Linked DNA regions of Caenorhabditis elegans. The protein of the gene in region 2 purifies or fractionates together with the protein of the main gene of each other region. This does not show direct contact. Each region holds a gene or a part of one and is shown on either strand. Other genes may lie near its edges.

What was found. Proteins that work in one complex are often made in the same cells at the same time.
Region 1: the proteins of snr-5 (region 2) and uaf-2 fractionate together in Caenorhabditis elegans (co-fractionation; one large-scale study listed by BioGRID). This does not show direct contact.

The regions. Positions count from the first base shown.
Region 1 is NC_003282.8:17,114,688-17,122,278, forward strand, and holds uaf-2 (Splicing factor U2AF 35 kDa subunit), read right to left. Parts: upstream 3,866-7,591; 5' UTR 3,857-3,865; coding exon 3,764-3,856; intron 3,713-3,763; coding exon 3,378-3,712; intron 3,334-3,377; exon of another isoform or gene 3,181-3,333; intron 2,630-3,180; coding exon 2,200-2,629; 3' UTR 2,084-2,199; downstream 1-2,083. Other genes in the region: cyn-13 (Peptidyl-prolyl cis-trans isomerase E), read right to left, coding at 939-1,362, 1,723-1,970; Y116A8C.33 (uncharacterized protein), read left to right, coding at 1-396, 695-730; itsn-1 (Intersectin-1), read left to right, coding at 4,997-5,146, 5,198-5,782, 6,266-6,727, 6,875-7,099, 7,140-7,591.
Region 2 is NC_003281.10:7,860,129-7,866,506, reverse strand, and holds snr-5 (putative small nuclear ribonucleoprotein F), read right to left. Parts: upstream 4,438-6,378; 5' UTR 4,436-4,437; coding exon 4,339-4,435; intron 4,289-4,338; coding exon 4,186-4,288; intron 4,079-4,185; coding exon 4,021-4,078; 3' UTR 3,933-4,020; downstream 1-3,932. Other genes in the region: putative transporter slc-17.3, read left to right, coding at 1,376-1,391, 1,603-1,652, 1,707-1,850, 1,896-1,970, 2,016-2,249, 2,295-2,472, 2,589-2,722, 2,896-3,048 and 4 more; cuc-1 (Copper transport protein ATOX1), read left to right, coding at 5,568-5,576, 5,656-5,728, 5,775-5,902.

The sequences.
Region 1 (7,591 bases), on a different chromosome or scaffold from region 2:
TCGCAGATGTTGAATCAAACCGATGAAATTGGCATATCTCAGAGTGTAGTTCAAAGTGTCTATAGTCTAGTGGACTTGGAGCCACTGATTAGTCAGGTCAAGGGACATGAAGATATTTCTTCCTTAGAGACAGCAATAAGTCAAGCAAAAGCTTATATTTCAAGAATTGATGTGTGGAGAGCTAAATCATTGAAAGGATACACTAATCCGCTCAAGAACTTGACAGCCGAAATTCCGGACATTGATATTATCCCAATTGAAAAGGCCCTCAGAGCCATGGATCCGGCGAGCCCTTTTCTTGAGAAGATTGCAGCGTTGGATTTTATTTTATCAAAGCACAATACAATTTTGCAATGGGCCCCATTCAAATTTGGAGTTCTTCAGGAATTTCTAGAGGTACTGTAAATTTGGTTATCGATCCTTGAATTTTGCAAAAAAATTTGTCGCACAGAAAGTGGGGCGGAGCGTAGCTTCACAACACTGCCGCATGAGGTATTTCCCCGCAATATAATTTCAATTTTACTTGTATTTTTCTCGATTTTTCGAATGAAAATGTTATCCAATTCGAAAAGAAGAGAAAAATTTTGCGTAGCTCCGTCCCACTTTCTGTGCAACAAAATTTTTTGCAAATTTTAAGGATCGATAAATAAATTTTGGTAGTAGTGTCATGATATAAAATAGAGAACAATTTCAGATCGTTCTTCTTCTGAAACGAGATGCATTTGAATAGAACTATTGATTTTTTTTTTGCCAAAAATCAATAAATTTTTTATCTCGTTTCGTTATTTTTTCAAAAATTTCGCATATTTTGGCACATTTTCTACAGAAAATTTGATGTTTAGCACGAATTATTGGCATAATTACCAAATAACGTTGTGAAAATGCGATTTTTTACAGTATTTTTTCTAGTATACCGCTCATCAAAATTTGTGCCTAACCGTGAAATTCTCATCATCAAATTTCGTTCCATAGATCGACTTCCCGCCGGTTCCGTCTCCTTTCGTAAAGTCACCGCCTTGAAGCATAAATTTTGGAATAATCCGATGAAATATCGATCCTTCATAACCGAATCCTCGTTCTCCTGTGCACAAACATCTGAAGTTTTCGGCAGTTTTCGGTGTAACGTCAGTTCTTAACTCGATCACTATTCGTCCAATATATCGAATTCCAATCTTCACTCCCAGATAGACACGTGGAAGCTTCGTCGAGGCTGACGACGATGACGTGGCGGCTTTTTCAGCGTCTCCGTCTTCTTCCGCAGCAGCTTCTCCACCTCTTCCATACTTTTTGAGCCATTCGTCGTCTGCCCAGACAGGTTTCTGTGAGCGTTCGGTGGCTTTTGGTGGACGAGCAAAGTTGACACTGAAAATAGCAATTTTAAAATTATAAAAAATGTTTTTTTCACAGGTTTTATTGAAAAACTTGTAAAAATATCTTTAAAAAAATATGAAAAATCACAAAGATTAAACCTGAAAACTAGGAAAATTTTGAAAACAAAATTAAAATTAAATCTTAATTTTAAAAGATGCTCCGAAATAACATGCGCGTGCGTTATTTCGGAGCATCGTTGCTACGTTTAAAATTGAAAATTAATTTAAATTTCCTGGTGTCAAACTACGAAAAACTGCGATTTGCGCTGGAGTTTCACTTTACGTAGTAGACTACGCAAGAATTCCACTTTATTTAGGACTATTTTCTTGGTTTCCAGAGCCAATCCCTAACCGAATAGTCTTTCCGAACAGCTCGCTCTCGTTCATATTATCAATCGCCATCGCCGCATCCTCAGCCATATCGAATTCGACGAATCCGAAGCCACGATGCTTTCCCGACTCGTAATCCATCGGAATCGAGATGGCAACGACGTCTCCAAACGGAATGAACGCGGCCATCAACACTTTTTCAGTGACATCCTCGGTGAAACCTCCGACGTAGAGCGTTCTTTTCCGATTGTGTGGAAAATTCGTGTTCATCTGGGATTTCTGAGCAGTTTGCAGGTGGATTTGTAGAAAATTAAATGAATAGGTAAAAAAGATGGCTGAACAGAACCATTTTTTGGCGAAAAAACTACAAAAAGAAGGAAATAAAAATGGTTTTTTTTGCAATAAAAAAGAGAGAGATAGAGAAAAAAGAGCAGAATTATTGGAATTATATGAGATAAGATACAGAAGAAAAAAGGTAAAAAAAAAAGAACAAGAGAGATTAATATCGTCTTCGATCACGGCTTCGACTGCGGCGTCTTCCACCGCCTCCACCTCCATATCCGTAGCCTCCACCGCCACCGCCACCTCCATATCCACGACCTCCGCCGCCTCCACCCCATCCTCCACGATCACGATCTCTGCCGCCACCGCCGCCACCCCATCCTCCACCGCTTCCATAGCCACCGCCGCCACCACCTCCACCGCCGCCTCCGGAACCTCCACGTTGTGATGGATAATGTCCAGCTGCGTCGGCTCGTCGTCCACGTCTACCATACAGACGATCTCCAAGTTCGGCGGAAATTGCCTTCAAGTGCATGAAATTGCAGAATCCTCCTTTCGAGCAGGTTGTAACTTCGTGTTGACGGCATCTAGACTCGCGGAAGTCGGTGACAGGGCACAACTCTGCGTAGATTGGTTGTCCGTTGAACCTGAAAGCGAAAAATATTTTAAAAATCGATAATTTTACAGAAAATTTTCATAATTTTTGCATTTAGCATAAAAATTTCCAGCTAAATCAGGAAAAAGACGGAAAAATCACGATTTCTGGACAAAAAATATACTTTTTTGCCCCAGAATTTGTGTTTTTTCATCATTTTCGCTGATTCTTGGTGCAAATTTCCAGCTAATTTAGCAAAAAAACATGGAAAATCAAGATTTCTGGGCAAAAAATAAAAATTTTGAGCCGCTCCGCTCACCATCTGCGTCGCGGTCCATTTTACAGAGGTGGCCGAGAGGGAACCTCGGCCATGACCGCGACGCAACTGGCATGCGGAGCGGCTCAAAAAAATTTATATTTTGCCCCAGATTTAGTGATTTTTCCATCATTTTTGCAGTTGACATGAAAAAAGATGGAAAATCACGATTTCTGGTCAAAAAATTAAATGTTTTGAGCCGCCCCGCTCGCCAGCTGCGTCGCGGTCCATTTTAACGAAATGGCCGACGGGAGCGGCTCAGAATTTGTGATTTCTCATCATTTTCGCAGATTTCTTGCACAAATTTCCAGCTAAATTAGCAAAAATGATACGGGCTAGCTCGCCAAAGTGCTCAGATGGCCCCTGTGCCAGGTATATCTCCATTTCAATGCCCTTCCGATGGGCAAAGTACAGTGGCACGTTCTCTTCACAGCACTTGAGCTCAGCTTGAGCCCTATCAACACAGCAGCTTCAGCTTACGCACCATCGATTATTCAAATCATTCTTTGCTTTCTCGGCGTCCTCTTCCTTCATAAATTTGACGTATACGTTTCCGACCATGTGTTCTCCGATATTCTCACAAACGTTGATCTCCTCCACTTCTCCATATTTTCGCTCCATCTCCACAAAAACCTCCTCGTAGAAATCGTCAAAATAGCGCTGTTCCTGATCATTCCGCTTGCCGACTTTATCGAAAGCATCCGCCTGACGGACATCCACTACCGGATTGTGGTAGAAGTTTTTGAGCACAACTGTTGGCGAGAATGTCGGTGTATGATGGGCTCTGGAGCATTTGTCTCCGTGGCGGCAGGCTCCTGTCTGCAAAAATTATTTAATTATTGAATTTTTTCACAGAAATCCACAACAAACCTTGAAGAAAAACGAGCAATTGACTTTATCCTTCTCAGTACCATAGATTGAGGCCAGGTACTCGGCTCCGGAGAGCCCGTCACCATACGACATTGGGATTCACTAAAAAAAATGATTTTTGACGAAAAATTCAATTTCAGCGGGAAAACCCTGAGAATTACGATTTTTAAACACAAATTCTGACGGAAATACTTCAGAATACAACGTAAAACTCAAAATATCAAGAATTCAATGCAAAAAACAAACTGCGAACCTGAAACAGATAGAAAATGGAAATAATAACCAACTGCCCTGCTAAATTCGAAAACGCAACGAGGCACGCTTTTGTGGGCGGGGCGAGCGTCGGCAAGGTGAGCGCGCGCGTTTTTCTAGCGTTTTCTCTATTTTTCTTTTTTTCTCCCATGACCAGAGATTAATAAATAAGTTGAAATTTAAGTGAATTTCTCTTCAATTTTCCGCGATTATACCGATTAATTCATGCACCAAGGCTGAAAGAACATTTAAAAATCAATTGGAGCTCAAAATTATTTGGAGAAAACTCAAGAATACGAGATTTTTCACTCTAAAACTAAAATTTGTTCTTAAAATGCAAAGTTTTAAATGAAAAAAAAAACATTGATTTTTTTAAATATATAAAAAAGGGGTTTTTGATTCCTTTAAAATTCTCTGCGTCTCTTGCATCTCTCGCCGCGCGCTCTCGGGGACCACTCCTCTTTTGGGGCACGCAAAAATCGATAAGCTTTCGGCGGCGCTTGGCCTCTTTCTTATTTCTTCTTATTTCTCAGTTCCTGAATCCAAATTTACAGAAATTTCGGCGCATTTTCTCTTTTTGTTGCGAAATTCGCATTTTTAGCGTTTTTAATCGAAAAACCCCCAATTGACAAATCCGTGGGAAGTTTACATAGAAATTTCCAGCTAAATTAGGGAAAAATCACGAATTTTAGCCAAAAAATTACATTTTATTGAGCCGCCTCGCTCGCCGGCCGCGCCGCGCCGCGGCCAATTTTTACAGAAATGGCCGAGAGGGAACCTAGGCCACGGCCACGACCGCGACGCAGCTGGCGAGCGGAGCGGCTCAAAAAAATCTATTGTTTGCCCAAAAACATGTGTTTTTTCATCATTTTCGCTGATTCTTCGCATAAATTTCCAGTTAAATTAGAAAAATATGGCTCGTTTTTTCCCTTTTTTGTTGCGAAATTCCCATTTTTTGTCGAAAAATCCCCTGTTCTCCAGATGACAAATCCTTGGGAAGTTTCCGATGCCGAATATCAGAAGAATTTCGCAATGTTCGGCCAATTAACCGGAGGACAACCGTTTATGGATGCGGTCACTGCACGAAATGCACTAATGCGCAGCAATCTGCCAACGCAAGTGCTTTCTCAGGTTGATATTAAACTTTAAAAAAAAAAATGTTTTTATTCAAACAATTTCCAGATCTGGGCGCTGTCAGACTTGGATAAAGACGGCCGGCTCGATATTCGTGAATACTCTATCGCGATGCGACTTGCTCTGAATTGTCTTGCCGGAATTCCGATTCCTCCGCAACTTCCGCCTTCCCTGCTGGTAGTTCCCGCCAGAAATGCTCCACCAACCTGGCCTGGAAGCCGGCATGGCAGTGTAGACTACTCACAAACTCTTCCACCGGCCATTGATCGTCGAATGTCGCAGTCATACATCCCATCTGCACCGGTTTCGATTGCCGGAACTCCATCTAGCAGACACAACTCGATTTCAGCTGGAAGCCCTTTGAATAATGATCGCAATGTCTTCGAAGGCCGGCAGCTGGAAAACTGGGCGATTCCTCACCACAATAAATTAAAATATTCTCAATTGTTTAATGCTCTCGACAAGGAACGTCTGGGCTCCCTGAGCTCACAAGTCGGACGGAGTGCTCTCGGGCTTTCAGGCCTTCCTACCAATGTTCTCGCGCATATCTGGTTTTTGTCAGATGTGAATAAGGATGGAAAGCTATCAGTGGATGAGTATGCGATTTCTCAGTATATGATTGAAATGTTCAAAGTATGTGTTTTGTTACCGGCCAGAAGCTCTTTATTCAAAAATTGCACTTTTTCCATGAAAATCCAACTTTTCTGATCTAAAATTGATATAAAAATGTAGAAAAAGGTTCTTTCCATCTGAAAATATTGTATTTTTCATGTTTTTTCAACAAAAATAAGGAATATTTTCAATTTTATTTGTCAAAAACTTGGAATTTCAAAATAAAAAGTCAAGCCACGTGGACGCTCCTCCCACTTTGCAACATGCGGCGCGAGTTTTCGCAACACTGCCGCACGGTTGTATTTTCTTCACGAATTATAGTTTTTCAGTGAATTTTACAGGATTTTTCAACGTTTTGCTTGTTTTTTTCAGCAAAATTTCATGTTAAAACGCTGAAAAATCTCAAAATTTCAAATTTTTCTGTACGAAAATCGGAAAATACCCTAAAATCATGAAACACCATAAAAATTTCCGCTGAAAAACTTAAAAAAATTTTTTTTTCAGAGTGGATTCGCGCTTCCAAAAATAACCCCGCTGGAACTTGTCCGGATGTGCGGAATCTCATCAAGATCAGCCAACAATACCCCTGAACTCGAACCAGGAGCGGAGCCACCACAAAAGTCACCAGCTCCGAAAACTTTTGAAGATAAGCGACAGGATAACCTATCTAAAGGTCAGGCAGAACTGGAGAGACGACGTAGAGTTCTTGAAGAAGAGGAGCAACGAAGACGAGCAGAAGTAGAGAAGAAAGAGAGAGAAGAAGAAGCGAAGAAAAATAGAGAAAGACAAGAAAAGGAACGACAGGCTGAAGTTGAGCGGCAAGCTGAACTAGAAAGACAGAGAATAATTGAAGCTCAACGGGAGGAAGAGGAGAAGAAGCGGAGGCTAGAGATGGAGAGACGCAGAGAGGAGGACGAGAAAATGAGAAAAGTTCAAATGGAGAAGGCGAAAGTTAAACAGATGCAGGTACAGATGCCTGAACAGAAAAAATGGAATTTTTATGTGGATTCTAGGCGATTTTTTGAGTTTTTCTTTTGAAAATTGAACTTTTGGAACACAGAAATTTTATTTACTCATGATAAAAAAAAACCAAATTTAAATCCCTAATTTCAGAACCAGAAGCAACAAGAGAACGAGCGTCTTGCACAACGTCAGCAACGAGAAAAAACGCTGCAATTTCAATTACAAGCACTTGATGAGAAGGTTATCGATGTTGAAGTGGACATTGGAAAAGCCAAAGAAGCAGTAGCAGAAGTGACTGGATTTATTGAGAGAATGAGATCTACGAGAGACGAGAAAGTCGCGAGAATTAAAGAATTACAAGAGACTAATCAGAAGGTAATACGCGTTTAATCTATATGCAAATTACCCAAAAAAGTTCCAGACAGCTATCGAATCTCAAGAACTCGGCCATCAGCTTCTACAAAAACAGTCGGCTCACAAGGAGACAACGCAGAGAAAAAGTGAACTAGAAGCACTGCGAAGGAAACGAGATGCTATTCGAAAAGCTATAGAAGATGCCGCTCTGGAATTATCCACAGAAAAAGAGAAATCGTATAATCAGACGGAGATTTTAAAGACGAATAAGGAAAAGTATAAGACTGATGTTTATTCGAAACTTGTCGCAAAACGAGAAGAATATCGAAATTCGTTTGAGCTTCTGGTTCATGCTCAGACACATGCCAGGAGCAAAATTGGGGAATTTGAAGCGAAATCTGCTCCAGCTTCAGCTGCTCCAGCTCCTGCTCCTGCTCCAGCTCCTACTACCACCAACGGATTCCCTGCAAACTTCAACGATGCATTCGGAGAATTCGATAAAACCGATGCAAG
Region 2 (6,378 bases):
ATTGAGTGGGTGTCGCTTCCAATTGTTTATTATTTTCATTGTTTATTAACTGTTTATGTATTGATTCAGTTCAATTGATAAGTATCACATTTCAACTTTTAGTAACTTGATGCTCAATTTTATGGTCTTGTTGGAAACTGAGAGACGATATGAAATTAACACTAGTGGAAGCTGGAACCAGAAATCGATCAAAAATATACATGAAAGTTTTTTTGTACTTTTTAAAATTGGTATTTCAAAAAACATTTGAAATGCCTAGCATGGGTAGGGCTGATCGAAAATTATCGGAAATTCGATATTTCGGCAACTATTGAGTGAAATTTTTGAAAAAAAAACACAAAAAATATTAGCAAAAAACTAATTTTTACTGTGGTATGAAGAAATTTTTTCCCTCAAAAAATCTAGACACTTCTCCGCCGTTCCCCACGGTGTGCAATAATATTTTGGAAAGTGTTTGCTCTAGAAATGTAGCTGAAATTATGAAACCATGAAACTATAAAACTATGTGCGCTTACGTACTTTGTTGAAACGGCAAGAATCAATGAACGACATACTTTATTTTTCAATAAATTAATTTCAAACAAGATTAATTATCCTGGTAAATCACACTTCTTTACGATCTCTTTTTGATGGGTATATTTCAACTCTAACAATCCAATGTGGAAAGTCAGTTTATCATCAGGAATAATACTGTTGAATGCAAGATTCATTGGTGGAATTGGCCATACGATTATGCGATCACATCTTTGTGGTACTACCATCCGTTCCCAGCATCTGTGAAAGATCACAATATAGGGAGTTATTATATATCTTTCAACGTTCTTTACATAACATGAGTAGTTCACAAATGCTCATCATAAAAAGCAATTCAGTTTTCCTTTCGGGACAGAGTTTCTGCTTTTGGAATTGATCATGTCATTGTTCAAAGATCGCTGATAAGAAAATGAGAATTGAAAAAATCGACTTGTTCACTACAACCATTCGATGATTTACACAAATTGAAAGGACGAGGAGGTACATCCCGATTTTTTAAGGTTCAGAATAAACTGTTCTGCAAAAGATACAAGAAAATCTTTAAAAATAATAAAACACGACTACATCCAAGCCACCTGAAAAAATCATTTTCTTATCATTTGAACTGAAATTTCTTAAACTACATTGACAATAATCGTTAGTTTCTTAAATAATCAAAAAATGATGAATTTACTCACAAAGAGCACAATCAATTTGAAGAATTTATGAAGAATGAGTGTTTCAGGTCAGAGAAAGTTGTGACTGACTCGTTTTTTGTTGAAAATTTTATATATTTCGTAAAAAAGTTTTTATAAACCTATTGATCTCAATATTCGTATAAATTCTATAATCTCATTTCAAAATGGCAAAAAAATTCCGTAAGTTGTATTTTCTGCCATAATTCGATCGTTTTTTGAAAAGAGGAATGTCCTTCGTGAGAATTTTTCTAAAATTTTTCCAACTGATTTTAAAATTAAGCAGTTTATTCCCGTCGAATTCGACAATCAAATATCCCAATGAATTGACAACTCTTCCGAGTTGTATGTAATCATTGTATGCTTCCTTCAAAAACCTTTTACCCAATTTTAGCTTTATTTCACCCATTTTCCCGGCGGCTTCATATTGTTCTACTATGTATGGTGAGTATTACTTTTACCAATATGCCAAAAATTTTGGTAACTTTTTCTTTCCAGATCGGATTTTTCTGCACAACTTTTATGAGAATTCATTTTGCACTGACAATGACTTGTATGGTTAATTCTACTGCTTTAGCAGTGGAAAATGAAATTAAATTGGCCGGAAATTCAAATGTCTCTGAAATTTCTATTATAGAGGAGGTTTGTGAAACGAATTCAGATTTATTTTGTATGTATTGTTTTCAGATTAATTTGGGATCTAATGGTCAATGTGGTTTGATGGATGAAGATGGGCAAAAGAAAGTTGTTGTTGATTATGGGGTACAATTGTTTTACTTATTTGAATCTGGTATATTCTAATTTCAGGGTGAATTGGTATGGAACAGCTACGAACAAAATCTTATATTTTCTGGAACATTTTGGGGATCACTTATTACAGTACTCCCTTCAATGTTCTTCATTGAGCGCTTTTCTCCACGTCACGTACTTCAAATTTCTGTAGCCCTTTACATTTTGGTTACCGTAATAACTCCTTTTTTGGCGACACATTTCGGATATTTTTCAGTTTTCCTGGCAAGAATTGGAATGGGGTTAGGAGAGGTACAATGTGATCAGTTGCAGAATAAATACTTATGAAAGTTCCAGGGTTTTGTATTTCCTACGAACAATGCAATTATTGGGAATTGGTTTCCCAGCTCAGAAAAGAGCACAGCTTTATCAATTTTTACATTAGGTAATCAAATTGCATCAGCTGCAGGAAGTCCTATGGTAGCAGCGGTTTGTGCATCTGATTTGGGATGGCCAGCTACTTTTTATTTTGCTGGTATGTGTAGGGAATTGAAAACTTAAGTTTTGTCGGGATTTTTCTACCTAAATAATCTTCAAACTTTTATTCAGACAACTTTTCCTGGATTTCATATTATATTAAATTATTTCCAGGAATATTTGCTACTGGATGGTCGATTCTCTGGTTCTTCACAGCATCTAGTCATCCGGCAAAAGTAAAAATGATGACAAAGAAGGAGAAAGAGTACTTATTGGCAAATGTGGTAAAGAAAGTGCACAAGTCCGAAGTGAGTAACAAATTTTTTTGGGAATGTACTTACCGTAGTAAATAATTCGAAATCCAAATAACTTCGAGACAAAATACAAAATAAAAAAATTAAAGTATCTTCTCATACAGGAAAACGTTTTAGCACTCTAGTTTTAGAATAAAAATCATATCATGTTATTCTGAAACTTTCAGAAAACCCGTTCGATTCCATACTCTAAAATTCTAACTTCTCCTGCATTTCTTGGTCAACTTCAATGTCATTTCTTTGTCAATCTTTTCATGACACTATTTCAAATTTACTTGCCTTCATATTTCAAAGAAGTTCTACATTTGGGCGTTATTGCTGTAAGACACTCAACATTTCAATATTATTTTTTATTTGTAATCATTTCAGAATGGTACATTTACTGCAATTCCCAACATCTTCAATATGATATTCAAAGTTGTTTGGGGTATTGGAATAGATAAATTAAAAGAAAATAAGATTCTCAGTAATACTAAAGCTGTAAAGGTATCACATGGTGTTGGTCAGTTGATTTTTGCAAGTTTCCAGAAATAGTATTTATTTCAGCAAGTTTTGGGAGTTCCTTCTCACTTATTTTACTTGCATTCTTTGTCGATTGCTCTAATCCAACAACTGGCCTTATTTTCTTCTGTTTAATGTGAGTTTCGATACTTTTCAGCGACTTTTCCAAATTTAAAGTCTTCAGGTATAGCTCAATGGGAACATTTGTGAGTGGATTTTACACATCACTACTCAGTTTGGCACCACAATATACTGCAACCATGTCTGCAATTTCAATGTTTGTTGCAATGATTGGTAGATTGACAACTCCTGCAGTCATGAGCATGTTCAGAAAAGACGTAAGCTATTTTAGAGATTTTTGACAAATCTACTTGCTATCCATATTCTTAGGGAACCGCTGCGGAGTGGCAGAATATCTTCATAGGATGCTCACTGGCACATATTTTCTCTGGTTCAATATTCTTGTTATTCGGATCAGGAGAATTACAAGATTGGGCTAAAGTTGAGGATGATCAGGAGATGAATGAGAAAGAGAAGCTGAAGACAATTGAGAATGGTATTGTAGTTGTTGAAGAAGTAGATGTCAAAAATGAAATGAGCGCCACGTTGGTGAAAGAGGATTCGCTGTGTCTTTGATAATTTACATAATTTGCTGATGATTTTTTTTTTCATTTAATAAATATTTTAAAAACTTCTTTAATAAGATAATTATAATTTATTGATTAAGAATGTGCGAAAAAGACAGAAAACTTGTGAACATAAGATCAATTGTTGAGAAGGGTTTGAAGAATTTAGGCACTCGTCTCGTTTTCTCCGTCCACGCCTCCCACGTAGAGAACGTTGTTGCATCTAAAGTTAGAACATTTTTCAAGATTTACTACGATATAAATGTGCATAAGATTGTAATAACTTTAGTTTCTACGGCTTGAATTTTTTCTTTTAAAAAATGCACCAACCGGATAAGAATCTCTCCGAGATTTCCTTGACTGTTTCCGTCAATGTACTCCTCGGCGTGAGCCAGCTGCAGATTCATGTAGGAGTCGACAGCAACAAGGACACCTTAAACATTTGGCGCTTTTGGTGAAATATTTCATTATGTCAATACAAACCTTTGTACTCCATTCCCCACTTCAGTTTGCAAACGACAAACTTTCCGGTGAGACTGTTGAGGAACGGTTTTGGGTTCACTGGTTGAACTGCGGACATTTCTGAAATATTTTTAAATAATATATTTTGAAACGAGGGATATCGAAAATAGTGAAGGACACAAGTAATTTAAGCAATAAAAATACATTCAAAGCGTTTCCGAATCACAATTGTTATGTTTGAACAATTTAAGAAGTTTAAAACCCATCTGACGGTTTTTTCAGTGAGATGGAAAGATGTATCTATTTTCTAATAGTGACAAAGTTGTTTTAATAAACATAAACTCAACAAAACACATTTAAAAAGGTTAAAACGCTGCGAAATCCTCCATAAAAATGAAAAAAGAACCTTGAATTTTCGAAAGTTGCGCTAGCATCAGATAATACGACATACTGCAGACTGCGTATGCGACACCATACTTGACGACATAAAATTAATCATACCCATGCATCATGCATGAAAAAGATGTGGGTTTTGGTTTTTTAGTTAATTTAAACTGAGTATTTGTATTTTCCGCTTTTTCAATGTCCTTGTACTTTTTGAGTTTTAATAAGTTATGCTATCTAAATATAGTTAACTTCTCTTCAGCCTCGAATATCCTGCTAAATGGCTTTCGGACTACTGTAGATGATAAAACAGTTCTTTATATAAGGCTCTATTTCTTCCAATTCACAACATTTAACAGGCTCCATCAAAATGTTATCGTCTTTATTTTTCTCTTTAACTGATCACCCTTAAAATCGATAATTTTCTCACCCCATAAAAACGCTCGTTTCAAAGTAGAAGATGAGTGAGACGCCGAGAAAATAGAGAAGATGCATTAATGCAAAGCTGTGACGTCATTTGGTGTCTTTATCCTGTTTCTAAGCTTCTTTCTCATTTTTCCATAAATTTTTCCAAAAAGTAAAAAAAAAAACTGGAAAACATTTAAAAGTTGCTTAAACCATTCGAGTTGTCCCATCTCAATAGTTCCTTTTTTAATTATCGCAGTTTCTTGAAAACTTGATCAAAAAATGTCGAATGATGCAAATTCTCAGAGATAAAGCATTGACCACGAGTCGCCCTATCACTGTCTCTCCATTTTGCGTCTCTTTGTTCATTTCTTTTCGACTGTACTAATTCCAATCATTCAAATTAACGTTTTTCAGGCAAGCAGAAGCAGAGTTTCCAGATTTCTGACTCAACAAATATCATGACACAGGTAAATTATTTAACTTTTTACAAATTACAATTAAATATTCTCATATTTGTGAAAAAAAAAATAATTTGAACATTTTCAGTACGTTTTCGAAATGGGCATGACATGCAATGGCTGTGCAAATGCTGCGCGAAAAGTTCTAGGAAAGCTTGGAGGTTTGGTTTACTTTTTGTTAATCAAATTAATCCTATTATTCTACAGAAGACAAAATCAAAATTGACGATATTAACGTGGAAACCAAGAAAATCACAGTTACAACTGATTTACCAGCATCTGATGTACTTGAAGCTCTGAAGAAAACAGGAAAAGAGATCAAGCAACTACAATAAATGACCCTTTTGATTGTCTCTTTAATTTCTATCCGAATGGTTGTGAATATCGTTATTTTTTGACATTTCTGTAATTTTTGTATTAATTTATGACTCTTGCTTGTAAAATTGTCCTATTCTAAAAATAAACGCATTTTCTAAACTATAGATTTTCTGATGCAATATTTCATTCGAGTTCTTTTAACCGAAATAGAAGGTTTCAAATGTAAACACCTTTTCATGCATTGAACCTTATCCTTATTAGATTAAAGCGTCGACGCGTACATCCGGTGTAACCGTCCTTCTCAGAAAGGTAAACGTCGCATTTTCATTTCACTATTCCGCGTCTCTTGATTTCTACTTAATGTGTTCTGAAATCCTACTAACGATGTGGTGAGACACGTCGTAACGAATCCGCTGAAATTTACATTGATGATTTGTTCGCGTTGCTCAACCACATTGTTCTCAAGGAAACTTTAACTGTTTATTAATAAAAG